Linked DNA regions of Arabidopsis thaliana. The protein of the gene in region 3 interacts with the protein of the main gene of each other region in a biochemical or structural test. Each region holds a gene or a part of one and is shown on either strand. Other genes may lie near its edges.

Evidence for each region.
Region 1: the proteins of AT1G79620 (region 3) and AT2G16250 form a complex in vitro, tested with the Arabidopsis thaliana proteins (one large-scale study listed by BioGRID).
Region 2: the proteins of AT1G79620 (region 3) and AT5G51560 form a complex in vitro, tested with the Arabidopsis thaliana proteins (one large-scale study listed by BioGRID).
Region 4: the proteins of AT1G79620 (region 3) and AT2G45340 form a complex in vitro, tested with the Arabidopsis thaliana proteins (one large-scale study listed by BioGRID).

The regions. Positions count from the first base shown.
Region 1 is NC_003071.7:7,038,593-7,046,487, forward strand, and holds AT2G16250 (Leucine-rich repeat protein kinase family protein), read right to left. Parts: upstream 4,763-7,895; 5' UTR 4,342-4,762; coding exon 2,375-4,341; intron 2,084-2,374; coding exon 1,958-2,083; coding exon of another isoform or gene 1,954-1,957; exon of another isoform or gene 1,830-1,953; coding exon 1,807-1,829; exon of another isoform or gene 1,722-1,806; coding exon 1,090-1,721; downstream 1-1,089. Other genes in the region: AT2G16270 (uncharacterized protein), read right to left, coding at 7,152-7,235, 7,315-7,895.
Region 2 is NC_003076.8:20,943,027-20,950,318, forward strand, and holds AT5G51560 (Leucine-rich repeat protein kinase family protein), read left to right. Parts: upstream 1-2,649; 5' UTR 2,650-2,780; coding exon 2,781-3,219; intron 3,220-3,794; coding exon 3,795-4,055; intron 4,056-4,162; coding exon 4,163-5,023; intron 5,024-5,105; coding exon 5,106-5,587; 3' UTR 5,588-5,913; downstream 5,914-7,292. Other genes in the region: AT5G51570 (SPFH/Band 7/PHB domain-containing membrane-associated protein family), read left to right, coding at 6,485-6,679, 6,781-6,901, 7,004-7,095.
Region 3 is NC_003070.9:29,956,299-29,965,417, forward strand, and holds AT1G79620 (Leucine-rich repeat protein kinase family protein), read right to left. Parts: upstream 6,008-9,119; 5' UTR 5,877-6,007; coding exon 5,768-5,876; intron 5,683-5,767; coding exon 5,559-5,682; intron 5,437-5,558; coding exon 5,365-5,436; intron 5,274-5,364; coding exon 5,199-5,273; intron 5,098-5,198; coding exon 5,026-5,097; intron 4,932-5,025; coding exon 4,770-4,931; intron 4,688-4,769; coding exon 4,613-4,687; intron 4,531-4,612; coding exon 4,459-4,530; intron 4,376-4,458; coding exon 4,304-4,375; intron 4,217-4,303; coding exon 4,148-4,216; intron 4,067-4,147; coding exon 3,992-4,066; intron 3,907-3,991; coding exon 3,835-3,906; intron 3,755-3,834; coding exon 3,066-3,754; intron 2,991-3,065; coding exon 2,838-2,990; intron 2,684-2,837; coding exon 2,544-2,683; coding exon of another isoform or gene 2,532-2,543; exon of another isoform or gene 2,448-2,531; coding exon 2,228-2,447; coding exon of another isoform or gene 2,205-2,227; exon of another isoform or gene 2,154-2,204; coding exon 1,918-2,153; coding exon of another isoform or gene 1,903-1,917; exon of another isoform or gene 1,842-1,902; coding exon 1,335-1,841; and 2 more. Other genes in the region: NHX6 (Na+/H+ antiporter 6), read right to left, coding at 38-62, 188-247, 436-487, 586-772; AT1G79630 (Protein phosphatase 2C family protein), read right to left, coding at 6,633-7,112, 7,207-7,430, 7,518-7,635, 7,722-8,150, 8,608-8,871.
Region 4 is NC_003071.7:18,688,540-18,696,095, reverse strand, and holds AT2G45340 (Leucine-rich repeat protein kinase family protein), read right to left. Parts: upstream 4,433-7,556; 5' UTR 4,358-4,432; coding exon 3,928-4,357; intron 3,567-3,927; coding exon 3,306-3,566; intron 3,099-3,305; coding exon 2,202-3,098; intron 2,118-2,201; coding exon 1,630-2,117; 3' UTR 1,371-1,629; downstream 1-1,370. Other genes in the region: CRR4 (Pentatricopeptide repeat (PPR) superfamily protein), read left to right, coding at 1-1,280.

The DNA.
Region 1 (7,895 bases), on a different chromosome or scaffold from region 3:
CAATTAACAACCAACTTATTAAATCAATGAGAATTGGCAAAAATAACCCAAGAAAATAATATTCCGCTGTCCAATTTCTTATAAGATGTTTTAGTTAAATCACATATATTAAGAAACTTATGTTCTTTACAAAATATTATTTATTTATTTAAAACAATTCAACCAATCGTGGCAAATATTGCATATAACAGAAATGATTAGAAAATATGAAAATTTATTTTAAGTTTTAATATAATGGACAAAAATAAAATACATAAGAACATCTTATATATTGGGATATAGTTTAGCTATTTAATCATTCTAAGTTTCTAACCATGATAGATTTGGCAAAAGTAACTCATTAGAATTTCAATTTTTGTTTGTAATGTTGTAATTTTCAAATTAAGTTCAGTGTATGAAATAATTAAATATAATTACAGGTAACTCAGACCAAAAATCCTACAACTTCAACATTTTGGTTCATACGTATATATATTATAAGTTTACGTCTCTAAACATAATGGTTCTATGGTCTAGCGGTTAGGACATTGGACTCTGAATCCAGTAACCCGAGTTCAATTCTCGGTAGAACCTTTATTTTTACTTTTTGTCCCAATATGAATCAAAAGCTTCCCACGTGCGAATGAACTAGTCAACAATATTCACACGTACGAAATCAGATCCAACAAAAGGAAGAAGTATCTTTCCTTTCACTTTTTGTCCAAATACATATCAAAAGCTTGCCACGTGCAAATGAAATAGTCAACAAAATTCACACGTACGAAATCAGATACAAGAATAATAAGTAATGGTGGAACTGAAACAAATGTAACCCAACTTTTTTGTTTTGTTTTGTTTTCTGGTCTTTCAATAAGAAAGAAACCGAAAACAAAACCCAATCTCCAAGAATTTTACAATTTACAAAATCCACGTTTGAACCAAAAAACAAAAACAAAGAGTGAACTAACATTTCTAACTCCCACCAATCCTAAACCCAAAAACAAAACAAAAGAAAGAAAAAACAAATCCTCCTCCCATCTAACATTATGCTACCTTTGAGGACTCTCTTTGCCTCTGTTATTATCGACACAAAAGAATCGATGAAACGAATCATAAATTATCCTCTACTACTCCATAAGCAGCAGGTTCCGGTACAATCTCACTAGATTGCCGTCTTCTCGACGACGATGAATTCCCGTTGTTGTTATTGTTCCTTCCGCTACTTCCTTGCGACCCCGAGTTTCTCAAACCATTACCACCACCACCACCACCACCACCGCTTGTTGTTGCTCCCGCTTGAACAGCTGTTACATCCGACGCACTCTGCCTCCAGCTCCCAAATATAGCAGCGTTCCAAGACCCTCTCGACGAGTTTGTTCTTAACCGGGAAGAGCCTGAACCCGAGTTGGTATCTTCTCTTACTACTTTCAGTGGGTTCTCAAGTGCGTTCACAATGTGTCTCATTAATGGTCTTCTTGTTGGTTTTGGGTTTAGGCATGACTTTGCAATGATAGCCATTGCCCATACTTCTTCTAGAAGGTCTTCGTCCACCATTAATGACGGGTCTAAGATCTTGGTTACTAGTTCTTTCTCGTTTGTGCTGATGTATGGCAAAGCTTCTTCCATGTACTCTTTTGCAAGTGCGTTGTCTGGCGAGCTAATCCCGAGCTTCCCCGTTACTAGCTCAAGTAACACTTTGCCAAAGCAGTAGACATCATACGAACATATTGCATTTGTTACACCTGAAAAGAATAAACCAATCAGATGTCTATCGGTTAATCGGAGATGGTATATCCTGATGAAATTTTTATTCTCCTAAGTGTATACCTGAAGAAGATGGTTCACTCGATCTGCAAGAATAGGAAAAGAAGAGACAGCGAAGCATTAGTAGGTGCCAAGACAACATACAGAGTCATGTTAGGGAATCAAAGTAAAACAGAAAAGGACCAGAGAGTTTGTTAATGTAATAAGCACTTACTGCGGTAATCGAAGTAAACGAGAAATTCTGCTTTGATAAGCATCACCTTGAGCATATGCCTCGCTTAGGCTTCCAAGACGTACCTCAAATTTATCATCAAGAAGTATGCTACTTGCTTGTACATCCCTATTTAACATTGAACACAAACACACACATGAGTTCTCTCGCTTTTCTTCTTATCAGGCAATAGAGCATAGATCAACAAGAAGTAATTTAGGAGCAGGTGATGTCATTGGGCTTCTCCATCTATGAAACTATACACTAACAATTCTTGAATAGATCTTACTAATTATGAACATGAAAGGTTATATGATACTAAAAACAGAATCAACAAAACAACTTCCAATAGTCTTGCTATGTCAATGCTTTAAAAAATATCAAGATTATATTACGAGAAGCTGAGCAGGAGAGTAGTACCTATGAACTAGAGGCGGTGAACACTCATGATGCAAATAAGAGAGTCCCTCAGCTGCACCAAGAGCAATTTTCAACCTTGTTATCCAATCCAAAGACTTCAATCCATCACCTTCGTTTTCGGATTTCCTGAACAAAGAGCTAGCCAAATCACCGTGTCTCATAAACTTGTATACCAAGAACTTTTGGCTCTCATTCTCCAAGCAGTGTCCCAAAAAGGGAACCAGCCTCTGGTGTCCAGCCTTACTAAACAACTCCAGTTCTGATATATAGCCTTCACTTTTACCTTCCCGCACATCGATCTTTTTTATAACAACGGGTATACCATTTTCCAAGAAACCACGAAACAGATTCCCCGAATGACCACGTTTTATCAGATTAGCATCATTGAATTCCTCTGTTGCCTGAAGAAGCTGCTCATAAGAAAATGCATTTCCAAGACGTGACAAATCAAAGGTTTGTGCTCCTTTAGGTGGTTGTTGTGAAGCTTCCCCGGCAGGTTTTGGCCTGTCGTTATTTCCTCTTTGTGCCGCTCTGCGTCTATGGCGCATGCATAGAACCAGAATAATTGGCAAGATAACAAAAAGAAGAATAAAAGCAACTCCACCACCCACTGCTGCCAATATAATTACTGTTCTGCGGCTTATCCCTGAAGAAGCATTTTTCGATGTCGGTTGTGTCAAATTAGGACGTCCGAAATCATCAAAATCTAATCCTCTAGACTTATAGAATGCTGCACATATTGCTGACGGCTTCTGTCTCCTCTCATTTCGAAGGCAATTGCTTGTAACAGACACATTTTCCCCGGTCACATAATCAGGAAGCTTACCTTCGAAATAATTACCAGAGAGGTCCATTATCCTGAACCGTCTAAGAATCGGTGTGAGCTCTCCATAGAATGTGTTCGAAGAGATATCAACCATTTCAGCTATCTGGTCTGAATCATAACTAGAATATGGCAGCAGTCCTGTGAAGTTGTTCTTAGCAATGTCAAGAATCCGCAATTTTGGCAACGACCAGCACACATCAGGTAGACTACCAGAGAAACCATTTTCCCTCAAAACTAAAGTTTGCAGTTGGCTCTCAGCACTAAACAAATCTACTGGTAAAGTACCACTCAAAAGGTTATCGCCAATCGCCATTAGCTGCAACTTACTTAACTTTCTTAGCTCCTGAGGAACTGAACCAGACAATGAATTGATGCTGAGATCAAAGTCAACCAGATTGACAAGATCACCAAGCTCTGAAGGAATCGGAGACGAGAAACTATTGCTTGAAAAGTTCAGATGGATAAGCTTTGATAACGCTCCTAAACCAGGAGGGATAGGTCCAGTAAGGTAATTGGAAGAAACATCAAGAGTCAACAGATTCTTCAGAGAGCTAAAAGATTGAGGAAGAACACCAGTGAATGAGTTCCTAGAGAGATCAAGCTGTGATAGATTCAACAACTGTCCTAAACTGCTAGGAACTAAACTAGTAAGACTGTTCTGAGACAGATTCAAAGTTCTTAAACTAGTGAGATTACCAAGAGTAAAAGGAACAACACCGTTAACAGAACACGAACTAAGATCCAATACTTCCAATGCCAACAAACTAACACCAAACCACTCAGGTATAGTCCCCGGTAACGCTAACCCGGACGCGTTAAAATACGACAAACGAGTTAGATTACGAAGAGGATCAACAGAGAATTGTGGGTTTAGCTTACCAATTCTTGTTCTCCTAAACCCAGAGATATTGATCCCAATGATACTACCATTCTCACATTGTATACCTCTCCAATCAACACAAGGGTCACCTTTAATTGGCCAATCTGTTCCTCTTAACCCTAAAGAAGACCTGAGATTAAGCAAAATGAGTTTCTCACTGAATCGACTCTGTGTTTGACCAACAACAACACAGTCGAAGAACAGTACCAAACACAACAACAACAAGACAAAACCCAATGCGCTTCTTCTTTGATCAACCATTGCTTATCAAACTCAATCCAATGACCCATCAACACTCATCACCCAAACCCAGAGAGAGACAGAGACTATTTTTTTCAGGATTTAAGCAAAATACCCAATTCAACAACCCTAATAAAAATAACGTCTTTCGATCTTTAGAGAGGAAGAAAGAGACAGATATCGAACTGGGTTTGCTCTGTTACTGGATCCAATTACAGCTCCTACCTTCACAGACATTAAAGCACCTCTCTTTCTCTTTCTCTCTCTCTCTCTAAATCCTAATTTATGAGAAGAAAAAGTAGAAATTTTTCACTAATCCTTAAAATCAGACAAAACAAAAAGTGATTTGTTGAGTGAAAAAAATCTTTAGAGAGAGAAAGAAAGAAGAAGAAGAAGAAGATCGAGATTGTTGAGATAACAACTGTAGACTGTGACACTCCTCTCTCTCTCGTCTTTGCAAGAAACTTCGAAATTAATTTATTATTAATTACAAATCTGATTAATTAATAATTTTGAAATTAGATTAAATTAAAACCTAGTGTGGGGTAAAGTGACGTCGTTTTAATGTTTGGTTTGACTTTCCCGGTAATCCCGCCATAAGCCAGCTAAGCTGTTGCCGCAATTACTATTTGGGATTTTTTCTTTCCTTCTTTCCTGTTTTATTATTGTTGTAAATTTAATGTTCGGATATATAAGGAGTAATATATCTCACGTCCTATATTCACCATTCTTGGCCGAATAAAGGAATCTTTTTCTTTTCTTGCTAAAATTTTCTAAATACTCTGAATTTTTTGGTTCGAATGGTAACGGCAATCAGAATAGATAAATTCATCGATAATATAAGTGTGTTTTATTTTCAAGTAGATAATAAATCGTTGTGGATCAATCTTATTTGTATGTAAAAATGGTTTATGATTGGTTTACGGCAGTTTTCTTAGTATATATTATTATAGATTCTAATTTATGATTGGTAAATTAAAAGCGGTTTAATCTGCATAGTATTTGTCCGTCTCAACCGCTGTAATCATTTGCATTTTAAACAATTTATTACAACATATAATCATATACAGTACAATAGAAAATTATCAACTAGAAAAACATGTGAAATGTTGGCAACTTTCTTTCAAAATATTGGATGAAATATTTATCGGTTATAGGATTTTGTAAAGATGTTGAAGTATTCTTTTTAAAAAACAATGATATTGAATTTTCTAGCTTTTTTGATATGATCCAAAAATTTGATATATGTTTAGTTTAAAATTGATAGAAACAAATTCTCTATTGTAGAATGTTCAATTTAAACAATGCCAATCGAATGAAAATATTTAGTTTTTTTATTTAATTTTACTTGAAAAATGAATGATTATGTTAGTTCAAAGTCTCACTATGGTTTATTTAGAAAATAGTGATTAAGTAGACATTAATAGAGATGAATTTTTCTTGAGCTAAAAATTTCTCAAAAGTTTTCTCAAAATATATGAACAAGTGATGTGAAATTTTCTTAAACTGTTTATTAATTTTCATATGCTACAGTTGCGTATATGATTTTATTAATCGTTCCAATTACTGTTATTTCCATAGAAAAGTTTTCTCTAACCTCGAGCTAGTTAAGTCATAATTGAGGATATTTGTTCGGGAAGAAAAAGCAATGAACTATTCATCTTTCGTCGGATAACAAATTTACATCACTACCTAATTTTTGTTACATATCCCGCATCGCTATTAAATAAATCCAACGTGTCCGAAAGTACAAATGTTGTTTGTATCTGTGTTTTCCAGTTCAAGATCATATAACTAACACATGTCCTCTTCGTGAGACCCCACACATACAAAATAAGCCGTCAAATCTAAACCATCGGATCAGAGCAAGATTATTTCGATTCTGGTGACGTGGCACAAATCATGCGTCCAAGAGAGTGTTTTGGTCACAGTTCTAATCATATTTCTGAATGCATGTTAAGCACCGAATCAACGTAACCATGGTTTCGCGCTTCTATATAGAACCGTCGTCGTCATCATCTTCCTCAAATCTTTGGACGTGGCTTATGCAGACAACGAGTATCGATGCTTCGTCGGAGGTTTAGCTTGGGCCACCGATGAACAGTCTATAGAGAGGTGTTTCAACGAGTTTGGTGAAGTTTTCGACTCCAAGGTCCGTTAAAGTGTGACTCTGTTTTTGTGTTGCTCTGTTTCTCTCTTTGTATCATAAAAATCTCGACTTTATATGGTTTATGGATTGGATCAGATCATCATTGATCGTGAGACCGGGAGGTCTAAGGGGTTTAGATTTGTGACTTTTAAAGATGAGGATTCCATGAGGACTGCGATCGATAGAATGAATGGTCAAGAACTTGATGGTCGTAACATTACTGTTAACTAGGCTCAGGCTCGTGGTAGTGGTACTCGCGGTGGTATGGTTGGTGGTTACGGAAGTGGTGGTTACAGAGGTAGACGTGATCAAGGTGGTTACAACCGTGGCGGTGGAGGTGGATACGGTGGTGGTTATGGAGGTGATCGTCGTGAAGGTGGTTATGGAGACGGAGGTTACGGTGGTCAGGGGCGATCTGAAGGAGGAAGCTGGAGAAATTGAGTCTTGTGATGTTTAGTCTCATGCTTTGTTACCAAAAAAAAAAAAAAAGTCTCATGCTTTTGTTTCTTCTTTTACTTTAAACGACTGAGACTGACACAAAGAAACAAACTTTGGATTGAATCACAACTAGTTTGGTACAAATCAGAAGATTTTAAGGAGTCATAAAGCTAATTCTAATTCTTAGGAAACTAAAAAGATTGCATAGTGATGCAATGATTGAAATGAAATGTCTATCTCTTTATCATAGACCAGAACCAGAAGGTTTGTTGTTCTTAATCCGGCTTGAACGTCTCACTGGTGTAATCATCTCCTCTTCTTCTCTACCCTGTGAATATATAAAATGGGTTAGTACTAAAACGATGCAAAACGTGTACTTTACGTGATCATTGATTGATGGTACTCACACTTTTGATGGGTATCTTCTCGTATGTTGTGAAACTTCCGTAAGAAAAAGAGCCAATGGAGTATTCTGATGCTGAAGATGCCATTGATTCTCTCCTCAACTTGCTGCTACTGCTATTGTTGTTATTCTTCTTGCCTCCTTTGCTTTGAGGTTCTTTGTGGCATGAGCTCTTCTTTTGGAAACTGTTACTCATTTTGTCATCAACTTCTTCCTCAAAATTCAGTGAAAAGAGCTTCTCTTTCACCAGATTCTCTTCTGGCACATGACTCAAGTTTAGCTCCATGTTACTCTCAGGGGCTGGTTTAGTAGCAGCCACGAGTTTTGTCTTCTTAGCGAATACGAAAGAAGCCACTGCGAGTAGAACCAGCACCGTGGAGGACAATACTATCATCAACTTGGTGGAATCATTATACGCCTTATTAGAAGACCTTACTTTAAGATGAAGATCATCACTAGTTTCTGCTGCAATTTCTCCAAAACCTTCTTCTGATCCACTTTCAGCATCACCTTTGGCTAAATCATTATAAGACCCTACTTCAAGATGAAGAAGATCACCAATTTCTCCAAAACTTTCTTCTGATC
Region 2 (7,292 bases), on a different chromosome or scaffold from region 3:
GAGAAGTAAACAAAACAAAACCTGGGAAGGATAAGGAGGATGGGCCCGTCTCAATCGCGGAGCGAATTGCGCGGCTCTCTTGTCAATGTATATATTGATGTGAACACTTTTTAAATATTTTTACAAAACACTTATAAAAAAAACGAAAATGTTGTTTTGTAAAAATATTACAAAACAAAATCCAAATAAAATTTAATTATATACTAGTCAGCAAGCAGAATCGTACAGCTGAGATTGAAAGCTCTCTGCTAAAATGGGCCACTAAAAGTTTATTTTTTGGCTATTGGTGGGTCTCACTTGTTACACTGACGTTACGGTGACACTGAAGGACAACCACTGACGCCAGACAGGCAACACCTGGCATATATGTGGATTTATACGCTGACCTGGCAGTGTTGACTCCTTGTTTTAAATGACACGTCATCTGAGTGTGAAAGAGACAGACGTCGCGTGAATTTTGCGGGACTTTTTTTAACTCCCTAGACCGCGTGTGAAGTGTACGCTCCGGTGAATGGTGAGGCCCATCGTTAGTTTTGGTCGTGTTGCATTTAATTCGTTTCATAATGTTCTTTTGTAGACTTTAGTGGTGAATTTAATTATTTTGTAAGGTGCGATGACTTTCTTGACAGTGGAAATTTTTTCACGTTTTCACAAACATGCATGATTGTTTATTTTCAGTTCGATGATTAGTGACCTGTATTTTAAGTGACAGTGAACAGGAATCTCGTTTTTCACCACAGTTAATTGGGATGCGATTCTTGTTATCTAAGTTAGAATCGTGGATGCGATGATGAAGTTTGTATTTTCTATTGATATTGTTTTACCCAAACCCAAGAGTCGAGAATGAATTTTTATGTCGTTGCTATTTATTCTGAACTTATGTCGTAAATGTTGGGATCAATAATTTAAGGTGACCGAGTCGTGACCCACATGAGTGTCGAGTGATTATTACAGCTTCGGTGAAAACGAGTGAAAAGTGAAAACGCAAACATTATTTTTAGGATCTTCTCTTTTGCTCACGAAGAATTGTAGTACTATTAGATAATCTCATAATCCTGAATGAGTGTTTTTAGTGGGATCACAATCCGAAATGACTATTTAAGCGTTAAGATTCAAAACAACTTCACATATATATAACCTTCAATGACTTCAATTTAATATATAGTTTGAAATTTAGTGTGAAAATCAAAATAATCGAACCTCGTTAATATTTTTAGTTTCATTCATGTTAAGTAATTCAAGCCAATTTTCCTTTTATAGTTTCTCTGCATGCAAATTTATATTTAAAGTGCGTGCATGTTGCATCACTTCAGTAATATGGTAGAATGCAAATTCGTTAACCGTCTCTATAGTTCATGACTTCATGATAGCATAAGAGATAAAATGAATTCAGGGATTTATGTGTAATCATTAAGGAATGAGAAAGTCACATAAAGCATGTAAAATAATTTTTGGGTCGTTATTTTTTTTTACTACGATGAATCTCTGCTCTCTTTTATATATTTTAGTCATGACTGAATAATGACAGGCAATTTTAATAATTTAAGATAAGTATGCGGTATGCCATGATCGGTAGACGGTAGCTCAATACAATTCCGACACAGAAACTAGTTTTTTTTTGGGTATTTGATAATGGGCCTTTTAGCAATTTTCTAAAGCCCAAATTTATTATTCTTGCTTCACGCAATATTGTTTAAAGCCCAATTTAGAGAACATGATTTCCATTCCGAATTCGTCGCCCAGTCACTTATTAGATTAATAGATTGCATTGCATTGCTTGTGCTTTCAATTTACAAATTGTCTCCCAACTCCATCGACACATCTCTTTTTGTGTATATAAGATTCAGACTTGTTATATTTTTTTTATAAATATGTTATTAGCATCTTAAGTTAAATTGATTTTTTATATCTGCATTAAGGATTACACGACTATATTTGCGATTGTGTGTTGGTTAAAATATAATTTAGGATTGTCTTTAACTACATTTAGGATTATATGACTATATTTGGTTAAATATAAAATCTAGCTGTGATTATTAGTATTCAAAAATAAGTAGCCTAACCAATTAAAACAACGGCTATTGGGGCAAATTAGAACATTTTAGTGTGTCCAAAATATAATGGTCATTAGGTCATATTCCTCCTAGCTTCATCGCAGCATAATTGAATGATTGCCTTATTTAGAAGAGCTTTTCCACTTTCCCAAAATCTATGTGGGATCTTTTTGTTTTGACCTTCATTTTTCTTGTTTACCATTTTTAGCTAAATTATTTACGATTACAAAAGATATCAAAAGTTGGATCATAATACAATTTATAGACTTACTGTAGAAAATTCGTATGTACAAGTACAACAAATTCTTCATAATAAATTTTGAAAATTCTATTACAAATGTTGTAAGAAATAGAATTTGAAATATATATAAACTAAGGAGAAAAAAAAAGAGAACATGCATTGCTCTAGTCAGAGTGGACCAACATCAACGAGATAAGATAACATAAAAACCAACTCACCATAACTAAAAACATCCCAAGAGATCCAACGATTCATATCAAACACAAAAACATCGAACGATCAGATTTAAACCATCTCTGGTATCTCCAAAACACAAACACTTTTTTTTTTCTTTTGTCTGAATGGAACAAAAGCATGCGACATCTCTGTGTCTTTATCTTCTCTCTCCTCTTCTTGAAAAACTGAACCTTTAATTCTTTCTTCACATCTCCTTTAGCTTTCTGAAGCTGCTATCTTCAAGCTCAAAACCAAACCCTAGAAATAAAATGACGGCGACACAAATGCTGCTTCATCTTCTTCTTCTTCCACTTCTCTTCCTTCACTTCAGCAACCAAGTCATGGCAGAAATCACCGACGAGTTAGCGACATTGATGGAGGTTAAAACAGAGCTTGACCCAGAAGACAAACACTTAGCTTCATGGAGTGTTAATGGAGATCTGTGTAAAGACTTTGAAGGTGTTGGTTGTGACTGGAAAGGACGAGTTTCTAACATATCTCTACAAGGGAAAGGCTTATCTGGTAAAATCTCTCCGAACATTGGAAAGCTTAAACATTTGACGGGTTTGTTCTTGCACTACAATGCTCTTGTTGGAGATATTCCTAGAGAACTTGGTAACTTGTCGGAACTTACGGATCTTTATCTCAATGTTAATAATCTCTCCGGTGAGATTCCTTCAAACATTGGGAAGATGCAAGGCTTGCAAGGTTAGTTCTTTTTTACTTTAATTTTAATCTTAATCATTGATTAAACTTAAAACCTAAATTTAGCATTGTTAGATCTTTGGTTTCTGCAAAATTCTTGTCCCAAGATTAATCAATGTTCTGTGGAGATTTGAAACCTAGAAATCTGAGCTCCTTGTCTTAGGGGTTTTAGTTACTTCATTACTATCTCTGGTAGTTGAAATTATTTGAATTAGATGATTTTGGAATTTAATGCTTTAATGATCTGTCTTTAAAACGTCCTTTTCATGTCTTTTTGTTAGGATTTTTCTTTTTGTAATTTTCCTGTAAGGAAGAATAGTCAAGAACTTTTTAAGATTCAAACTTTTAATTGGAACCATAAATGGCTTACTGGTCCCAAAATATGGACTTGAATTGAAGATAACTTGTACTTCTCTTGATTAATTTTGTTTATTTAGATAATTGATTCACTTACTTTCAAAAGGCTTTATATTTGAGCTTTAATTAGCAGGACCAGGTTTCTAAATCTAGAATTAGTTCTAAGTTAATGTAAGTCAAAGCTAAGCTTCATTCCTTTTTTGGTCTATGTTGTTGTGTAGTTTTGCAGCTCTGTTACAACAATTTGACTGGAAGCATTCCTAGGGAGCTTAGTTCACTGAGGAAGCTGAGTGTTCTTGCTCTTCAATCTAACAAACTCACTGGAGCTATACCTGCGAGTTTAGGAGATTTAAGTGCTCTAGAGCGGCTAGATTTGAGCTACAATCATTTGTTTGGTTCTGTACCAGGCAAGTTAGCTAGCCCTCCTCTGCTTCGAGTTCTCGACATCCGCAACAACTCCCTCACTGGCAATGTACCTCCTGGTTAGAAAACTGATTCACTATATGATCTTTGAAACTAACTTTGCGTATTTTGTGAAGTGTTTCTCATTTTGGTTTATATTTCTTTCTCTGTTGTACCGATTTGACAGTACTGAAGAGATTAAATGAAGGTTTTTCGTTTGAAAACAACTTGGGACTATGTGGAGCTGAGTTCTCGCCGTTGAAATCTTGCAATGGCACAGCTCCTGAGGAACCTAAGCCATACGGTGCAACCGTGTTTGGTTTTCCATCCCGGGATATACCAGAATCAGCTAATCTACGGTCACCTTGTAATGGAACAAACTGTAATACTCCTCCAAAATCTCACCAAGGTGCAATCCTTATTGGTTTGGTTGTCTCGACTATTGCATTGTCTGCTATTAGCATCCTCTTGTTCACGCATTATCGCAGACGCAAACAGAAGCTTTCAACCACTTATGAAATGTCGGACAACCGTCTCAACACCGTAGGAGGAGGTTTTAGGAAGAACAATGGTTCTCCATTGGCCAGTCTTGAATATACTAATGGTTGGGATCCACTTTCAGACAATAGGAATCTCAGTGTCTTTGCTCAAGAAGTTATCCAGAGCTTTCGATTCAATCTTGAAGAGGTTGAAACTGCTACACAGTATTTCTCAGAAGTGAATTTGCTTGGAAGAAGCAACTTCTCTGCGACTTACAAAGGAATCTTGAGAGATGGTTCTGCTGTAGCGATCAAACGGTTTAGTAAAACAAGTTGCAAATCTGAAGAACCTGAGTTCTTGAAAGGACTCAACATGTTGGCGTCTCTGAAACATGAAAACTTGTCAAAACTTAGAGGCTTCTGCTGTTCAAGAGGCCGTGGAGAATGTTTTCTCATCTATGATTTTGCTCCTAATGGAAATTTACTGAGCTATCTTGATCTCAAAGATGGTGATGCGCATGTTCTTGATTGGTCCACGAGAGTATCCATTGCTAAAGGCATCGCAAAAGGTATGAGTTTTATTTATGCCGAACCAATTTTGTTAGCGTTCTTGATTCATTTTTGTTTATGTGTTTGATGTTTTGTGTTTAGGGATTGCTTATCTACATTCATACAAAGGAAGCAAGCCAGCATTGGTTCACCAAAACATCTCAGCGGAGAAAGTTCTAATCGACCAGCGATACAGTCCTCTACTCTCAAACTCAGGCCTCCACACACTTCTCACAAACGACATTGTCTTCTCTGCACTCAAAGACAGTGCAGCAATGGGCTACCTCGCTCCAGAATACACCACAACCGGACGTTTCACCGAGAAAACCGATGTCTACGCTTTCGGGATTCTTGTGTTTCAGATAATCTCCGGGAAACAGAAGGTTAGGCATCTTGTTAAGCTTGGAACTGAAGCTTGTAGGTTCAATGATTACATAGATCCAAATCTTCAAGGAAGATTCTTTGAATATGAAGCCACAAAGCTAGCTAGAATCGCGTGGCTATGCACTCATGAATCTCCCATTGAAAGACCATCCGTGGAAGCTGTAGTTCATGAGCTAGGTAACTGTAGTAGCTGTCTCTGAGAACTCTCTCGAGGCAAATGTGTAATGTGTACCTTAGGAATCAATTAAGGAAGGGTTTGTTAGTCACCTTTTCCTGTGTTTAGGGTTAAGAAAAAGGTGCCTTTTCCCTTCCCATTAACGTTTAAAAACTGTTCAACGTGTTGTACTTTATTGGTTTGTATGATTTGTGTTTATGTTAAGCTCTTCAACCTTAGAAGAAGACAAGACAAGTACATTACTTTTAAAAAATTTCGGTAGATGGAAAATATTTATGGTACTTTGTCTTCTTTTTTTTTTATAACTTTCTGAACCAATTTATTGTCAATAATTCAATATAGAAAAAAAATAACGTATAACATTTTTTTTTCTGATATTGATCAAATCAATATCAAAAGAATTGATTTGTTAGATGGTTTTGATTTAGATTTGGATATGAGCTTTAACTTTTAAGTCTTTATTAGTCATCTAGATCTAGATACAAATTTATAAATATAAAGTCAAAGGTTAACTATTAGCATTGGCCACCAGATTCGAATAATTTACATGATTTTTCTAGACTTCAGGATTAGATTTTGGACCTAGTAAATTTTTAGAATTACTTGAGTTATTTGAAAGAAATAAATTAAATTATTAGTTGTCCACAAAAGACAGAAAAAAATATCAAATTATACTTTTCATTGGTCAAAAAAGGATTATACCAAATATCTAAGGAAGGAAGATATTGTTGATATAGCTAATTAATCAGTAACTAATCCTAACCGTCCATTTCTCCTCAAACCGCTTGATCTAACGGTAGCAAAAGGCTTCGATCACATAACACCATTTGTTTCCATAGAAACGAACGAGTCGTGGAGATTTATAAGCGAGACTTCTTCTTCTTCTTCTTCTTCTTCGAAAGCTTGAGAGTGCTGCGTAAAAATGGGTAATACGTATTGTATCTTAGGAGGTTGTATTGAACAAGCTAGCGTTGGTGTGGTCGAACGTTGGGGTCGATTCGAGCATATAGCTGAACCGGGATGTCATTTCTTCAACCCTCTCGCCGGTCAATGGCTCGCCGGAGTTCTCTCCACTAGGATCAAATCTCTTGATGTCAAAATTGAAACCAAAACTAAGGTTCGTGATCACTTATTCCTTTTGATCCTTTGCGAATTTTGGTTAATACTGTATGTGGTGAGATTCATGTAAATTAGGCTTATTGTCGTTGTTGTTTGTAGGATAATGTGTTTGTGCAGCTGGTTTGTTCGATTCAGTATCGTGTAGTGAAAGCTAGTGCTGATGATGCGTTTTATGAGCTTCAAAACCCTAAAGAGCAGATCCAAGCTTATGTCTTTGATGGTAATTTTTTTGCTTCTCTGTTGATGTTTTTTGTTTCTTTGTTTGAAGAAGCTCTGTTTTGATTCTTGATTTGTTCTTGTATGTTTGTTTTTTGAATCATAGTGGTTAGGGCTTTGGTCCCAATGATGACGCTTGATGCTCTTTTTGAACAAAAGGGTGAAGTTGCCAAGTCTGTTCTTGAGGAGCTTGAGAAGGTATAACATCTTGTTCCTTCACTATCTCATTCATTTGTATGTTTAGAGACTATTTATTCATAATAGGATATAAGATATCTGTTTTGAGATTCTTGATGTTTTGTAGTGATCCTGCATTTGTTGAGCTAACTAATAGGTGGATTATCAAGTAGGCATGTTTGGATTTCATAAAGAAAAGTTACAACGTTAAGTATATG
Region 3 (9,119 bases):
AGAAAAGCAATAAAGACATGAGGGTCTCTGCACTTACAGGTTGTAAACTGAAGCCTGACTGGGTGCAAACAAGTACGTCAAGGAAAACAACATATTTTGTTGCCTAGTTGAGATTCATTGAAAAGATTATGTTACACAGAGGCGTAAGTAAAACTAAAGGCAGATACAAACTCGATTTTAAGGATATAATATGATGGGAGGCAGCAGAAACAGAAAGAAGAACTCATCGTGGAAATTGAACCATGTCCTGCAGAAGAAACAAAATAGATTAGCATTGAAGAACACTTACACACATATAAACATGTATTCGTGTATGTAATCAGTGAGTAATTTACAATCGTTTGAGTTTCCAGGTCAATGGAGGAAAGGACATAAAAATAGTAATAAATAATTGAGAAAATACTAAAAAAACTGATGAGAAAAAGTTCAACGAACCTTATGCTAGTCTCCGTGTTCGAGATGTTCGCTAAACCACCAACGATCAGCCCTACAATTCCACAAATTTCACAAGGAATCAAACAAAACAATCGATGGAAAACGAAAAGGACGATCGCAATGCAAAGGAGGAGTAAGAAGAAGACAAACCAATTAGAAGAGAAGCACTAGCTTCAGGTAGATAATAGAACTTATGACGGCGAAGGACATGACCGAGTACAAAAGAGAGGACAAGCATCATGATCTGAAGCAAAATCCCGACTCCGGCGGCTTGCTGCTGCTTCTCTTGACCTTGCGGGTCGTGAATCGCCGGCGAAATCTGCAGCTCCGACGACATTACGCCTCGACGGATTTAAAAAAAAAACTAGGGTTTCTATCAGTGTTACTTCGTCTTCTTCGTCTTTGTTCACACAGAGAGAGAGAAATTCACGAAACGGGAACTCGTGAGATAGACTTCTTCTTCTTCTTCCTTTCCGAGGACGCATTTTGCTTTTTATAGGAATCTGCGTCCCCACTGCTTCTCAGGTGGCTTTCCGTTTTGGGCTTTTATGGGCCTAATAATATCAACTACTCTGATTTACTTGAGCCCAATTACTAATAAACACGATTACTAAAAACATGGGCTAAATGTGTATATGTCCAGTGGCAGTGGTGGCTCATGTTAATACGCTACCGTTTTTGGGCTGAAAAGGCAAATGACGTCTATACATGGACAGTTTACAGTTCTAATTTATTTGGCCCAACTACTAAGATTTTCTTTTAGTAATCACGATTTACTAATGGGCCTAGCCTCACAGTGTTTCAGGTCAACAATACTCGCACAAGTTTTCATCAATATGACTTTTCCATTCATTCATACAAAAAGTAACGACAAATAATCTCACAAGAGATGTTGATATTTACTTGGGCTCAATTTTGGTCGGAACAGAGTAGCCACCACTATAATCAAACGCTCCGCCTCCATCTCCGTCTCTTGCTTCTTTCTTCTTCAAAGTACCTCCGTACAAAAGCTTCTCACCAAAATCTGTAGCGGATGACGACGCAGATGCAGAGGAGCTACTACTCGCCCCACTATTCTGGATGATAATCTCAATCTCCTTGACCACTTCACTCATCGTTGGCCTCTCATCTGCCGTCTCATCTACGCATTTCAGGGCTAGTTCCATATACCGGCCGAGCTCTGGCAGAGTTCCGACGTCTCTTAACGAACGATCCATCTTATCTCTCAGTCCGTAGAAGTCATCGTCGCTCTTGTTCATTACAAGCTTGATCTCTCTAACAATGTACTTGCCTTTCTCTATCGGCTGTTTCGCTGTGATCAGCTCCATCATTACAACACCGAAGCTGTACACATCACTCTTCTCTGTAAGTTTCTGTGTTGTGTAGTACTCTGGGTCCAAATATCCCTGCCATTGAATCATCAGAAACAAAAGTTCCTAAAAATTGAAAGCAATATGACTCGTTGATTTATCTAAAACTTACCAATGTTCCTTTAACTTGTGTTGAAACATGGCCTTTGGTGCAGTCTGAAACCAGCTTGGACAAACCAAAATCAGCAACCTTGGCTGTCAGATTCTCATCCAAAAGAATGTTAGTTGATTTCACGTCCCTGTGGATGATCGGAGGATCCGCCAGTTCATGGAGGTATGCGAGTCCTCTTGCCGATCCTAGAGCCACTCTCAGCCTTCTTTTCCAATCCAGCGTAATTCCGGATCGCCCTAAAAACAATACGTAATGGTCAAGTTTTGTGTTTGTGATTTATTGAGCACCTAAAGGCCAGATTTTTCAGTACCGGTTAAGCTATCTTTTAGTGATCCGTTGGACATGTATTCGTAGACTAGAATCTGCTCGCCTTGCTCGAAGCAGAACCCGACAAGCCCAACTAGGTTCTTGTGATGAACTCGAGAAAGCAACTCAATCTCTGTTTTGAACTCGAGCCCTCCTTGTGTTGATCCTTGTTGTGCTCTTTTGATCGCCACCATGTGCCCATCTTGAAGCATTCCTTTATACACCTGCGGAGATTACAGAGAGAAACAGAGGAGCGTTACTTGTCAAACCCTGAAAGTGAAGCCCTAGATAGTTTCAAGATCGATCTTTCAAAAACCCACCTTTCCATAACCTCCATAACCCAGCTCACTGCTCACAGAGAAATTGTTCGTGATCTTCTTGAGTTCTTCGTAGGAGAACCATCGTGCCCCTTTCAGCTGCGGTGCGCCACCGCTGTCTTTTCCACTTGATGCCCATGAAACTGAGTGAATCAAAATATCATTGTCAGTCTTCTACTTAACAGTAAATCTATCATGTAAGTTAATGTAGAGTTTCTTTTTTTTCAGGTGAACCTCAGAGAATCTAAAATGGTAGTGTTTCTAAGATAACTTCACCTGTTAGAACATCGGACTTACCAAATGGTCTACTCAAACCGATAGCTTGCTCTGCACGTCTCTTCTGCCACATTGCGTATATTCCTAACGCAACAAGGCACAGGACCAAAGCACTGCAACCAGTTATTATCCCAGTGACCATCCGAGAGCTCAAGGAATGTCCGTTACCATCAGCTGCCAAAAATTATTCGATTGTTAGACGATGTGTTTAACTCCAAAAAGGTGTATAAGCTTCGTATGTAATGTTACCTGGGAATGTGTAGGGAGATGCAATGAAGTAGTAAGGTCCAAACAAAGGAGGAGGTTTATATGTTTGGTTACTCAAGTCAAATCCAATTCTCTGAACTTCAGTTCTGTTAAAATACTTGCCCATAGGTGGGAAAAGTGCCAACTGTATCTGAAGATAATCATCATTGTTGAAGAAAGGGTTTTGTAGAGAGACCGAGCCTGGAGTGAGTCCTAATTTCACCCACAAGCTCATCTCCAAAGAATGGTATGTGTTCACATTGGACAGGTCTCTGAACATAGGCCCTCGGAAGTAGAGTGTGCCTTCATAAGGGTAGGCGCATTCACAGCTCTGAGGGCTGACCTTTTGGTCTAATGGACAAGACTTTCCTCCACAGTTAGCAAGACTGGTCGAGTATATTCGTTTGACTTGTTGCTGCTGAATCTGACAGTAGTTTGTGTTGGAGAGAGCTGTTGTGCATACAGGATTTCCTTCGAGTCTGCAACAAGAGAGAGCTTCTTTAATAGGTTGATATAGACAGTTTGATTGAACATTTAAGAAGAAAGAAGCTATGTACATTAATGTATTGGTATATCCAGAGCTTAGTGTTACAGAGGATATGTCGTTGTCTTGTAGATCAACAAGTTGGAGCTCTGGACCTACTGTGTCTCCCAAGCTCAGTGTTCCATTGAATGCGTTCTTCTTCAGTCTCCTGTGCAAATCCAATTCAGCAATTAGATGATGTCTAAAGCTGTAACCAAATTTCAGTGGAGACTAAAAGCTGAAACTTACACTTGTTGAAGCTGTGGGAACCCAAAGAGCTTATTAGGTAGTGGTCCTTGAAGAGATCCATATTCCATCACACTAAATACAAGAAAATAGTAACATATTTAGAGAGCTCCCATATGTGAATGTTCTGATTTGTAAACTGTAGCAGAGCAGCACTTACAGTGTGGTCAGTGAAGGTAAGGTTGAGAACCAGAGAGGAGACTCTGATGGATCAAATGAGTTATTGCTGAGATCTCTGTAACAGACATCACATTTAATCAGAGAACACAAACGCATAAATGTAGATAAAGACGTTCTCTGTTGGTGAGAAATTTACACGTAGTTCATGGACTTCATGTCTGACAAATCTGGTAATGATCCAACGAGCTTGTTGTGAGCTAAGTTCCTGAGAGACAGAAAAAAAGATGTATACATTCATAAGTGATGTCTAATATGATCTATATAGTAATATCATAACTCTGGCAACACTTACAGTTCAATGATGTTTGTGAGATTACTGAGATTCTCTGGAACTTTTCCGGTCAAAGTGTTTCTGTCAAGCCGACTGTTGCAAATACAAGAGTTATATCTTTTTGAAGATAGGGAAGATACATGAAACTAAGGACATAGTGATGATATGTTACTCACAGAACCTCTAGTGTCTGAATGAGTCCTAAAGTGGAAGGTATGCTTCCTGTGAATCGATTTCCATCGAATAATCTAATATTGAAATAAATCTGTTGCGATGAGTTACCGTAAGCTTGACAAATATGTAATATTATTAGAAGTGTATTTGACTTACACATGGATCAGTATCATCTCAGAGCTGAAAAGTTTTGGTGGAATGGTCCCAGAGAGCTGATTCTTGTTGAAATGACTGCAGTTTTTATAACATTTGCATCAGAAGAAAGGTACTTGAAGCTGAAGAAGATGTCTGCAGAGAAAATAAAATTACTCACAAGTGTTTGGCTTTCAAAAGAAGATCAAGACCAGGACTTGAGCCTGATGAAATTGGAATGGGTCCTGTCAACTGATTATCCGCAAGATCCAGCCAATAAACCTTAGTGAGATTTCCTAGAGACGCCGGGATTTTACCCGTGAAGTTGTTCGAGTTCAAGGCCCTGAGAAAACATGGTGGAACCAAAGTGGCAAGTCTCATCAAACATGAGTTGGTTTGAGGACAATATCAAACACTGCAAAATGCTATTTTCTTACAAGAAAGATAGATCTTTGAGATAGCCAAGCTCATTTGGGATGGTACCAGTGAAGCCACAACCAGCAAGAATACTGAAAAGACCAATACAACTGTTTAGATATGTACACAAGGAAGAGAAAGAACAAGAACTACGAGATCACTTTTAGCTTGTTTGCGCGGGAGAGATTCTTACAGGATATTTAGCTTTTGCAGGTCTCCTAACCGAGAAGTAAGTGAACCTGTTAGTCCTCGATTAAAGGAAAGATCCCTGAAACAACACAAAGTCGCCAATTCAGGTCAGAAAAAAAAGAAGATGTTTTTCTCTTGTATTCATCGATGATTCATCTAAAGAGACTGACAATGATCTTAGTTCAGCTAGTTCTCCAATATCTCCACTAAGTCTTCCTTTGAGACCCATTGTTGACAAACCCCTGAACACAAAAGACTTGCTTGCTCAGTACGTTACCAAAATTAGTAAGAGAAGTGCTCTAATTTTTTGTTCTTTTTCACACATGTGTACAGAAACACGAGTGAATGATTAAGGAACACTCACAAAGCAGTGATTCTGGAGTTATTGCAAGATACACCTTCCCAAGGAGTTCCACAAGGATCATCAGAACCTCCCCAACTAGGCGGCGTATTGTCCCATTGATCCATCAAAGAACGCAGAGCCGCCGCTAATAAAAGGCAACAAAACAAGTAAATTACAATCATTTCCACGAACGTATTCAACGCAAGGAAAAAACATAAGTCATCACATACCATCACGAGGATCAGTCACTGATGAAATCATTGAGAAGACAGTGAATGAGTAAGCAAAACAGATCAAGAGCAACCGCGATGTAGCGGTTACGGTGTTGGAACCCACCATATTGTTCCTCAAGAGACATGAGTTCTTGAAGTTTGATATTTAAGTGAAATCATAGAGAAAGAAGAAACAGATTAAAGTAGCTTCCTTATGAGACAAGATTCATAATTGTCTCATCAAAAAAAATGTGTACTGAGAATTGTGCCAATAGGAACACGAGTGACACCAAGAAAAGTTGGTTTCAATCAATTTTCCTTCTCTTCGAAGTCAATTTAACGGTTCATGTGTCTTTTTTTCAAAGCACTTTAGTTATTAAAGCACTTGAGTGTTACATCTCCAAATAAGGAGAAAATAATTTCTTTCAAATAGCCACTACAAAATTAATGATGTAAACTTAGGTTACCGTTAAGCTCTGTTTTGTAATCAAAGCAACCTTCTTTGATCATTATGCTGAGAATAGACAGAGAATATAGTGGAACCCATAAAAAAAAAAGTTCCCAAAAACCCAACCATCTCCAAAAACAAAAATAAATAATTAAAACGTAAAAGCCACTTCCTTCAATTTCCAAGTGTCTAACATGTAGTAATAAGAGTTAATTAAATATAAAGACAGAGAGTATCCAAGAAAAGATCCAATTCACTATGATCTTTATCTACAGCTAACATGACCAATCTCTCACATGTCTGAAAGACTAATTTAAACAAGAAAGATTATATATCTGCAAATCACTTCCAAGAGAAGAAGAAAAAAAGTTGGAACATCGTGATATGAAGTGTTTTTGTCGGCATTAACTTAGAATCACTTAAGTCAAAAAAAAGTCACAACCATTTTCTCCAACTAGTTGATCTGAGCTCACCAGATAAAAACCTTGGAATGCTCAAGAGACTGTTAACCCTCGTCAATCCTTCCAAAGCAGACCACTCTTCATCATCTTGTGCAACCGAGATACATTCCGCAAGTGTCATTGTCATCATTTTCGACTCAATCCCGCAACTCTCAGGGATTTTCTCGTCTTTAACGGGGACAATCTCATCCTCCTCCTTGCTTGTGCTGTTAGTGACACTCTCTATAGACTCTTCTTTGGGTGAATCCTTCTTTACATTGGTTGAGACTTCCATGGCTACTGATGAATCTTGTAGAAAGAGACAGACTACTGTACAGTCATCGTTCTTGGAAGTTGGGTACTTGATTCTCCATGATCGTACCGCTGTGTCCACTAGAGCTCGAGCCGCTGTGCTTCTACTAGGAGCTGAGGCAACGATATCAACAGCTTCTTTGTTCGACAACACATCCCATACCTTTAATACAATTCAGAAAACACAACATTTTTCAGCTCTAAAGATTTGGAAAATGTTTGCAATTTAGTGGCTAGTAACTGAAGATTTAATTTACCCCGTCGCTAGCAAGAATAATGAATTGGTCTCGTTCCGTTAGGCGGCGATAGTTGATATCTGGAACAGAGATTAATCCGTAATCTTTGAGACAAAAGTCTCCAAAAGCTCGAGCCATTGCTAAACCAGGTGAATCACTGTTTGGTAACCATACACGAGCTACCTCAGGCTCGTCTTGCAATGCAAAGACTCTTCCTTTACATTTCTGGATTCTCGCTGATTCACCTGACAGTACACATAGAAAGCGAAAGTTGAGAAACTTTTGCCTCTGGCTTCTCTCAGAGTTTAATATCATGGTTTGTAATAAAGTACCTGGCAAATCCGGTTTTAAGTCTATAGTTAATTGTACAGCGAGCAAAGCATTGTCTTCGTCTCTTGTGGCAAGAACGGCTCTCGAGTCACCAATATTTCCAACCACCAAATCCTCACCCTAAAAGAAATCATTATGAACAATTACAGCAATTAATATACAATCGATGATGGTCTTTTGGTTACAAGCAGATCTAAGCTGAGAACCTGCTTGATCAAAGTGACTGAAGTTGTTCCGCTGCAGAAGCAATCAATAGTTGGATGCATTTTCAGCTCTTTATCTATCTGCTGACAAGACTTGAGCATCGCATGTTTAAGAGGCAGATACATCTCCGGAAGTTCATCGTTGTTCACATTTGGATTTAACTCACACCATTGCTCATCCATAGTAGTAACAGACTCAGTTTTCTGCACTTGTTCAGACTCAGTTGTCTGCACTTCTTCTTCCTCTGTACATTTGATCTGAAAACCATTGGCACCAACTAAGCTGCTTTGATCTGACTCTGAGGTCATTTTCAACTGGGTTAAGAGTGTGAAGGGCAATGTATCTCGGACTTTCTTGGCAACCATATGACCAAATGGTCCATGTCCATCGAATACACCACAAAACACTGTATCGTCTCTCGAACAAAAGTTCTGGAAAGTGAAGTAGTTTTCATAAGTTAGAAACTTGTCTTGATATGTGAATGTAACACAAAAGGAAGTAAGCAGAAATAGAATCTAAGTGTCAAGTAACTAGTGGTCCCTGTAGAAACAGGTCAAAGACTCAAGACAGCACAAGAACAACACAAATGGCAAAACAAAGCCACCTCAATCTTCAAAGCACTAAGCTTTGTAATGGTCCCAGAAAAGTGATGAATCATTCCAAGTTTCTCTCTCTCTTACTAAGCACTAGCAACAAAAGATTAATGCAATCATGTTCTGAAGATCCATTTGATCTGTAACAAAACACATCCAAACAAATCAAGTAGCTTCCTCATACATTGAACAACATTTCTCCACCAAAATACCCTGAAATTGTCCTCTTGAGTATTGATAAAATCCAAATGGGTTGCAAAAAAGATGAATTTTTGGAAAGATAAAAGAAACGAACCTCAAAGACGAGCATGGCGTCTTGGTTAGTCCCTTTCTTGCCTTGCTGTGTGTAAAGACATGCAATCTTACTTGAACCATTCGAAACCAAACGACCCAAAACCTGTGGAATCCCTTCGATATCGCCGCCACCCTTTAAATCTCTCGGCCGCCGCCATCTTCCGGAGCCTGATCTCTCCTCCACAGTCTCCGCCGTAGTGGCGGTGGAGCTTGCTTCTCCAGGTTCCTTCCCAGTAGTCCTATCTACTGAATAACACAGACCCATTTTGAAAATAATCCGAAGAAAAAAGAGCTCAAAGCTTTTAAAGAAAAAGTTCAAATTTTTTAAATCGCCGATTGAAGAAATCTACGATTTTTCTGGGGGTTGTCGGCAATGATTACTTGCTCGGCGAAGAATAGAGCGAAACGAGAAAAACGAAATCCAGAAAAGAGCTTAAAAGGCTCAAAAAACGAAACTTGGCATCTAGAAAATCCACACTACTTTAGCTTTTAGTTTTAGCTTTAGCTTTAGGG
Region 4 (7,556 bases), on a different chromosome or scaffold from region 3:
TTTCTTATAATTCCATGATTGATGGGTATGTCAAATGTGGATTGATTGTATCCGCGCGTGAATTGTTCGATTTGATGCCTATGGAGATGAAGAATTTGATATCTTGGAACTCTATGATAAGTGGTTATGCTCAGACATCAGATGGAGTTGACATAGCGTCTAAACTGTTTGCTGATATGCCTGAGAAGGACTTGATTTCGTGGAACTCAATGATAGATGGATATGTAAAACACGGAAGAATCGAAGATGCTAAGGGTTTATTCGATGTGATGCCGAGAAGAGATGTAGTTACTTGGGCTACCATGATTGATGGGTATGCAAAGTTAGGTTTTGTTCATCACGCTAAGACTCTGTTTGACCAAATGCCTCATAGAGATGTTGTGGCATATAATTCTATGATGGCTGGTTATGTTCAAAACAAGTATCACATGGAAGCTCTTGAAATATTTAGTGACATGGAAAAGGAGAGTCACTTGTTACCCGATGATACGACTTTGGTAATAGTTCTGCCTGCAATTGCTCAGCTTGGCCGATTATCCAAAGCCATAGATATGCATTTGTACATCGTGGAGAAACAATTCTATCTAGGTGGAAAACTCGGTGTTGCTCTCATTGATATGTATTCGAAATGCGGAAGCATACAACACGCCATGTTGGTTTTCGAGGGAATCGAAAACAAAAGCATTGATCACTGGAATGCTATGATTGGTGGGCTCGCTATTCATGGTCTAGGGGAATCTGCATTCGATATGCTCTTGCAGATTGAGAGACTCTCTTTAAAACCAGACGATATCACCTTTGTTGGCGTTTTAAATGCTTGCAGCCACTCTGGGTTAGTAAAGGAAGGCCTTCTCTGCTTTGAGCTCATGAGGAGAAAACACAAGATAGAACCAAGATTGCAACACTATGGTTGTATGGTAGACATACTATCGAGATCCGGAAGTATAGAGCTAGCCAAAAACTTAATAGAGGAAATGCCTGTTGAGCCAAATGATGTCATATGGAGAACGTTTCTCACCGCTTGTAGTCACCACAAGGAGTTTGAAACGGGAGAGCTTGTCGCAAAACACCTTATTTTGCAGGCTGGATATAACCCGAGCTCATATGTGCTACTCTCTAACATGTATGCTAGTTTTGGAATGTGGAAGGATGTTCGTAGAGTTAGAACGATGATGAAGGAAAGAAAGATAGAGAAAATTCCTGGTTGTAGTTGGATTGAGCTCGATGGAAGAGTCCATGAGTTCTTTGTAGATAGCATTGAAGTTTCCAGTACATTGTAGATAAAACGAATGTGCAGCAATATATTTTCAAGGGCTTAAACCTATTCTGCAATTCCTTGGCATACATGAAGACAATGTCACATGGTTGGTTTTGTGCAGCTAAGATATGTCTGGAAAAAAACTTCCCACAAGATCACTTAAAACGTCTGAAAAGTGATTGTTTTTACAGCCTAAGTACATCAGCTACAGTTACAAGGAGATAAGATTGTTACATCATGAACCGAGTTTTTCGGATCCCCTATACTGAACCTAAAACAGAGTTAACATCAGGGGAATGGTGATAGTCTGAAACCTTGGTATGCTTTATATTCTTGGACTATCAAAAGCAAGAATCATGTTAAACGGGAAACTAATAATCCGCGGCGAGATTATTCAGTTCTTGGATAACATCTTCCATGGATGGTCTTTGGTTTGAGGATTCATGAGTGCAGAGAAGACCAAGTCTAGCGAGCTGAGCCGCTTCTACTTCCGGGAAGTTCTTTCGAAGATTTGGATCCATGAAGTCTTCATTCAGTCTTCCTGACTCTACAGCTTGTAAGATCATCAAATGGCTGATTTTGCTTTTACCACTCAGTATCTGCAACAGAATCATACCAAATGCATAAACATCGCTCTTATCAGTGAACCTCCCTGTAGTTATGTACTCAGGAGCTAAGTATCCCATTGCCGCACTTGCTTTGAGCTTCGAGAAAACGATATCATCTGTGAAAAGCTTGTGAAGACCGGAATCTGCAAGAGAAGGATTATACCAGTGATCAATGAGAATCTTCTCTGCAGATAGATTCTGGTGAACTATTGCAGGTTTGTTCCCATTTTCTCCATGCAAGTACACAATCCCTGAAAGGAAGAAAAAAAAGAAATCAGATTTCACATACAAAAAACCGAGTTTAGTTTACGAAAGAATGAATAGCAGAATCCAACCTCTGGCGATTCCGTTTATGATGGAAACTCGAGTTGCCCATTCAAGAACCTCTCCAGTCTCATCCTTCACATCAAGATACTGCAAAAGATTACCATTGGGAACAAACTCATAGATAAGGAAACATTCTCCACGTCCTTTCGAGCAGCAGAATCCTCTCAACCTCGCTAAATTCTCATGCTTCAACAGTGTCAGCATCTTCAACCCTTTGAGAAACTCGGATTCATCGGATTTACAGCTCGATTTAGCTATACATTTGATAGCTGCAACAGAACCATCTCTAAGGATACCTTTATAAACTGAAGAGACATTACTCTTCCCCAACAAGTTAATCTCAGAGAAGCTCTGAGTAGCTCTCTCAATCTCCTCAAGATTGAACATAAAGCTCTCAAAGACTTCTTGAGACAATGCACTGTTGTTGTTACTGCTCTGTCCTCGTCCTAACGGATCCCAACCACTTGCGTACTCTAAGCTGATCAATGGAGAAGAGCTTTTTCTTCTAGAAACTTCTTTGAAGTTGTACTCAGTACTAATCCTACCGTCCATTGCATCAAGACTGCTTCCAATCTTCTGTTTCCTTCGTCTGTACCATGTGAATGTTGAACCGCCAAAGATTGCAACTGCGAGGATTGATCCTATTAGACCCATGACGATTCCTAAAGGTGAAGACTTTAAGGATTTTGATGAACACCCGCCATTGTTGTTACTGCAATTGCTTCGTTGTAAATCTGCTGATTCTGGTTTCACGTCAACTGTTGTGAAATTCGTTGGGTTTGTTGGGTCTGGTCGGTTAGGGTTCGGACCGTTTAAGCCGGTGCAAGCTTTCAAATCAGTGAAACCATCTCCGCATAAACCGTGATTGTTTGAATACTGGAATCCATTGTTTAGCCTCTTCAAAGCTTCATAATTCATAAAAATCAAGAAACAAACAAGTCAGCAAAACATCTTTAATGTGGTTGTAAAAACCGGTTTAGAATTGATATGGTTTAAGTTCTCCACGATCCGGTTTTGGATTGGTTCCCGGTTCTGTTTAATCGGATTGGTCAACACTGAACCGGTTTAGAATCTGAAGAATTTATGAATCTTGAGGGAAAATAAATTATTACCAGAGGGAACGAAGCCGGAGAAGGAGTTATTACGAATGTCGAGAACTTCAAGCAAAGGAGCACCGGCGAGTTTCACCGGAACAGGACCAAAGAGGTTGTTGAAGCTCAAATCAAGCCTCGTTAACGTATCAATATCGCCTAAACTCGCCGGAATGGCGCCGGAGAGTTGGTTATACTGTAAAGCCAAGACAGTTATCTTCTTAAGAGAACCAAACTGTGTCGGTATACTTCCACTTAACTTGTTGTAACATAACTGTATAACTGCAAAAAAAAAAAAAAAAGTGTTATGAATATATAGATGCAATTATATTTGCCCTTATTTTTGTTGAGTTTTACATTTTAGTTTCAAAACCCCAAATAAAATTGTTTTTGAGTTTTGCATAAAAAAGAGTGAAAGATGAAGGAGACAATAGAGAGTATCCCTAGTTTCTAGGAGACTCAAAAATCTAAAAACTTGAATGGATGATTAAAAAAAAAAACTAAAATCTACACCATTCAAGACCTAAACTCTTTTTAGCTAAGTTTTAATAAACCAAATTTGACCCGCTTAAGGTGTTTTAGCTGCAATAAATGAATTATAGTGAGTGAGGTTAACAAAGAACACATGCATAAATAGACCGACCTTGAAGATTGTCTAAGTTCCCGATTAGAGGAGGGATTTCACCGGAGAGATTGTTGACATTGAGGTATAAATCGGTGAGGAGAGGCAGATTTGAGATATCTTTAGGAATATGACCGGTCAAGGAGTTGAAGTGAAGGTATAAACCGGTTAAGCTTGTGAGAAGACCGATTGAAGGAGGGATAGTTCCAGTGAGACCCATTCCTTGAAGAGAGATGTTAGCAACACGGCGGTTTCCGTCGCACGCGACACCGTCGAAGGAGCCAGAGGAGCAAGGGTCGGCGTCGGGAGTCCATGAAGTGAGGAAACGTTTTTCAGGGTCGAGAGAGGATTTGATATCGAGGAGAATGTCGAGCTCTGAGGAGGAGGAAGACAGTGCAGAAGAAAGGAAGAAGAAGAAGAGGATGAGAAAGAGTGTGAGTGGAGAGACCATGTTTGGTTGGAGAGAAGAGAGAGAGAGAGATGAGGAAGAAAATGAAAATGACTCTCTCTTGTGGTTTTGAAGAAAAAATCTTGTCCATTGTATTTATAAAATAGTAGTTCTTGATTGTTAATACTAAGAAAAGCTTAAACCACAAAAGTATAGATATCGTGAACATAATAATAATAAAAAGTTAGTTCAACTATGAAAATGTAAAATGATAACATAGAGAACTATATAGATCACAACTCTAATTTTTTAATATATAAATGTATATAGACTAATCTCCAATGTAAGTTATTGCAATGTATTAAGACATTCATATAGTAGCTAACTATACATAATTGTTATTGCAATGAAAGTATTTGAACCATAGTCCATATGTTACTCTTATGATAATTTTAAACCACTTGACTTTTTATCACTTTTTAATTACACATATTACTGATCAAAATCAACAGTAAATTTTTTTAACTACAATATTTTGATTGTTTGTTCATGTTACATCAAGTATTCTACATGTATAGTTTCACATTTTGAGTGGATTGTTTTTGATTGATTAGTATATATATATAAGTTTATTTGGAAATTGAAGGAAAACAAAAGACTCATGAAAATTGAAAACATTGAAGTCCACGAGTTCATTTCATTTTCTGTACTTTATACGGTAAAGATTACTTTTAAAGTCTTTTCAGAGGAAAACAATAATAGTTAGGCGAATCTTAGCTTTTTTTCAAAATTGAAAATGATACCATTCTCCCTGGATTTAATGGTAAGAAAAGTTGTTTCTTTTTCAGTGCACCAGCTATAAAATTGTACTTTTTATATCATTTGTTTTTAACTTTTCATATATCCATAAATGTTGGATATATGTTTTCTTATAAATTTCTATTAATTAGCGAATTCATAACTTATTAATGACCATATTTACTGAAAAACATCAAAATTGTGAGGTTGGGATTTTAGTTAGAAAAGAACTATATTTGACTAAATCAAACCTCGAGTTTATCCGATCATCATCAGTAAACACCCTTAGATATTACATGTACAAATAACCTGATAACAAGCTTTATATGTTCACATGGAGAATAAGGTACAAAGATAAATGGGATCTTCTTGATATTATTCCATTAAATTACTATATTTGATGCAAATAATTGTTCCATGAATAACAAAAAAAAGGGTAGCTAATATTTTATATTATATAAGAACAAATTAAAAGGTAAAAAAGGCATCCAAGAGGCATGGGGCTAAGAGTACATCAAATGGGACAAAGAAGATGATGGAGGCAAGTCAATAGTAGCAACATGTGAACATTTTTCTAACACAATTAATAAACAAATTTACGTAAAATTTTACAAACATGTGAACTTGTCTTGAGTTAATGTTTTTGCTATCTTCTATATCTGATCATAGCAAAAGGTAAAATGGACCAACACCTCGCTCTCCTCTAAGTGTAACATGTGAATTTACAGAAACAAGAAAGACATAAAGCAAGAGAATAAAGCAAAAGGCTAAGGTCTACTTAAAAGATATTCCGTTTTCTCTGTAATTTTCTTACTTCGTGGGTAGTGGTGGATGATATTTTTGGTGGATGATAGATGTGTGTGTATTTCATTATCTATTTATAGAATGAAATTATTATTTGAGTGAGAAAATGAGAATTTTCAGAAAGAAAGTGTCCATGATAACTTAATTAGTGCAGTCAAATCTCTATATGATGATGACATTGTGTTAATTAGACAATATTAATTTGAGTTCCTAAGTTGATTGAATATGATTTTACTTTACTTTTAAACTATAGTAATAGTACGTAGAACTCATTTGAAAGTAATAGTTTATGACCAATTAATTAGCCGATACACAGTACATCTAAGTGGTAAATTTTATAGAATTACATCACTAGTTCATCTCTTTTGATTTGTTATAAGATGAAACAGTAGTGTGATATCATTTAAAGTCACGCCTTATATTTGGCTTCGTCTCTAGAGAAATCCATCCCTCACACGTTATCTAACCCAGCCTGTCCCATTTTTGTTTGAATGCATGAGTACGATGTTTCGTATATTGTTACAAAAACTTCAAAAATTTATCAATAATCATTATAATTGTATGTTGGTACTTGGTAGGCACCGCATTTTACTGATTATCATCCATGTTTTGTTTTTGAGCAAAACTATGTATCTTGTTTTGCTATATATCGTGTCTAATTGTGAGTGGTAATATTAGTCTTTTTATTATTATACATAATTTTGTTTTGCTTCTCGTAAATTTAGACGTTGAAAATCGAACTTATGTGTGTTCGATGTGTTCTTTGATTTATTACATCTAAAATTGGTCCAAACGCTATATGTCATATAGGCGTGCAAATTAATTATGATATGCTATCAAACGCGTACATTTTCAAATGCATCAAATCTTTAATTATATGATTATACTGTACTAGTTTAGTTGTTTCGTCGTCACATATATCAAATTTTCGATTCGCATTTGTGTTAATTAGTTAAACTATTTATAACTACAGTAAATAAGACTTTTTTTTGTCATATTCAGAAAATGATAAGCTCGCCACTTCAAAAAATTCCACCAGCTGAAAAGATCATATTTCAAATTCAGAGAATTCAAATATATAAAAAAATAAATTCTTCTGTCTCACCTAACACGGGAAGACAAAACGAAGTAGTGTCCATGATAGAAAACAGAAGACAGTATATAAGCTCATGATTACAAATATACAAAAATTTGTGAAGAACAATAATTGTTAATCAAATTCTTTTGTGAAAAACTTATATGCTTGTGTCAAGCATCATATGAAAATAAGATAAGTATTTGATTATTGTGTAAATAATTTCAACTCTTCATATAGTTGACAACTGTATGCCATTTCCGTATAGTTCGTCACTCGATTCATTGGTTTCTAATGATAGACCATAATGTTCCACCTCAATCAATACGATTTAGTATAAAATATTATACATCAAATGTATCACATTTCTTAGAGAAAAAATTACAAGGTCTTTTCATGTGCTTTATTTATTTATATTGAATTGACTAGGAAACAGTATAAGAAAAAAATGATATGAAATGTCTGCATCACAGAAACCGAGTTTTGTTGGAGACCACAAGAAACCAAGCAAGTCGAAGACAAAGATTGAAGTATAAAGTTTTAAAAGCATACACTAATTAACTAGTGCTATTATATTCATTCTAT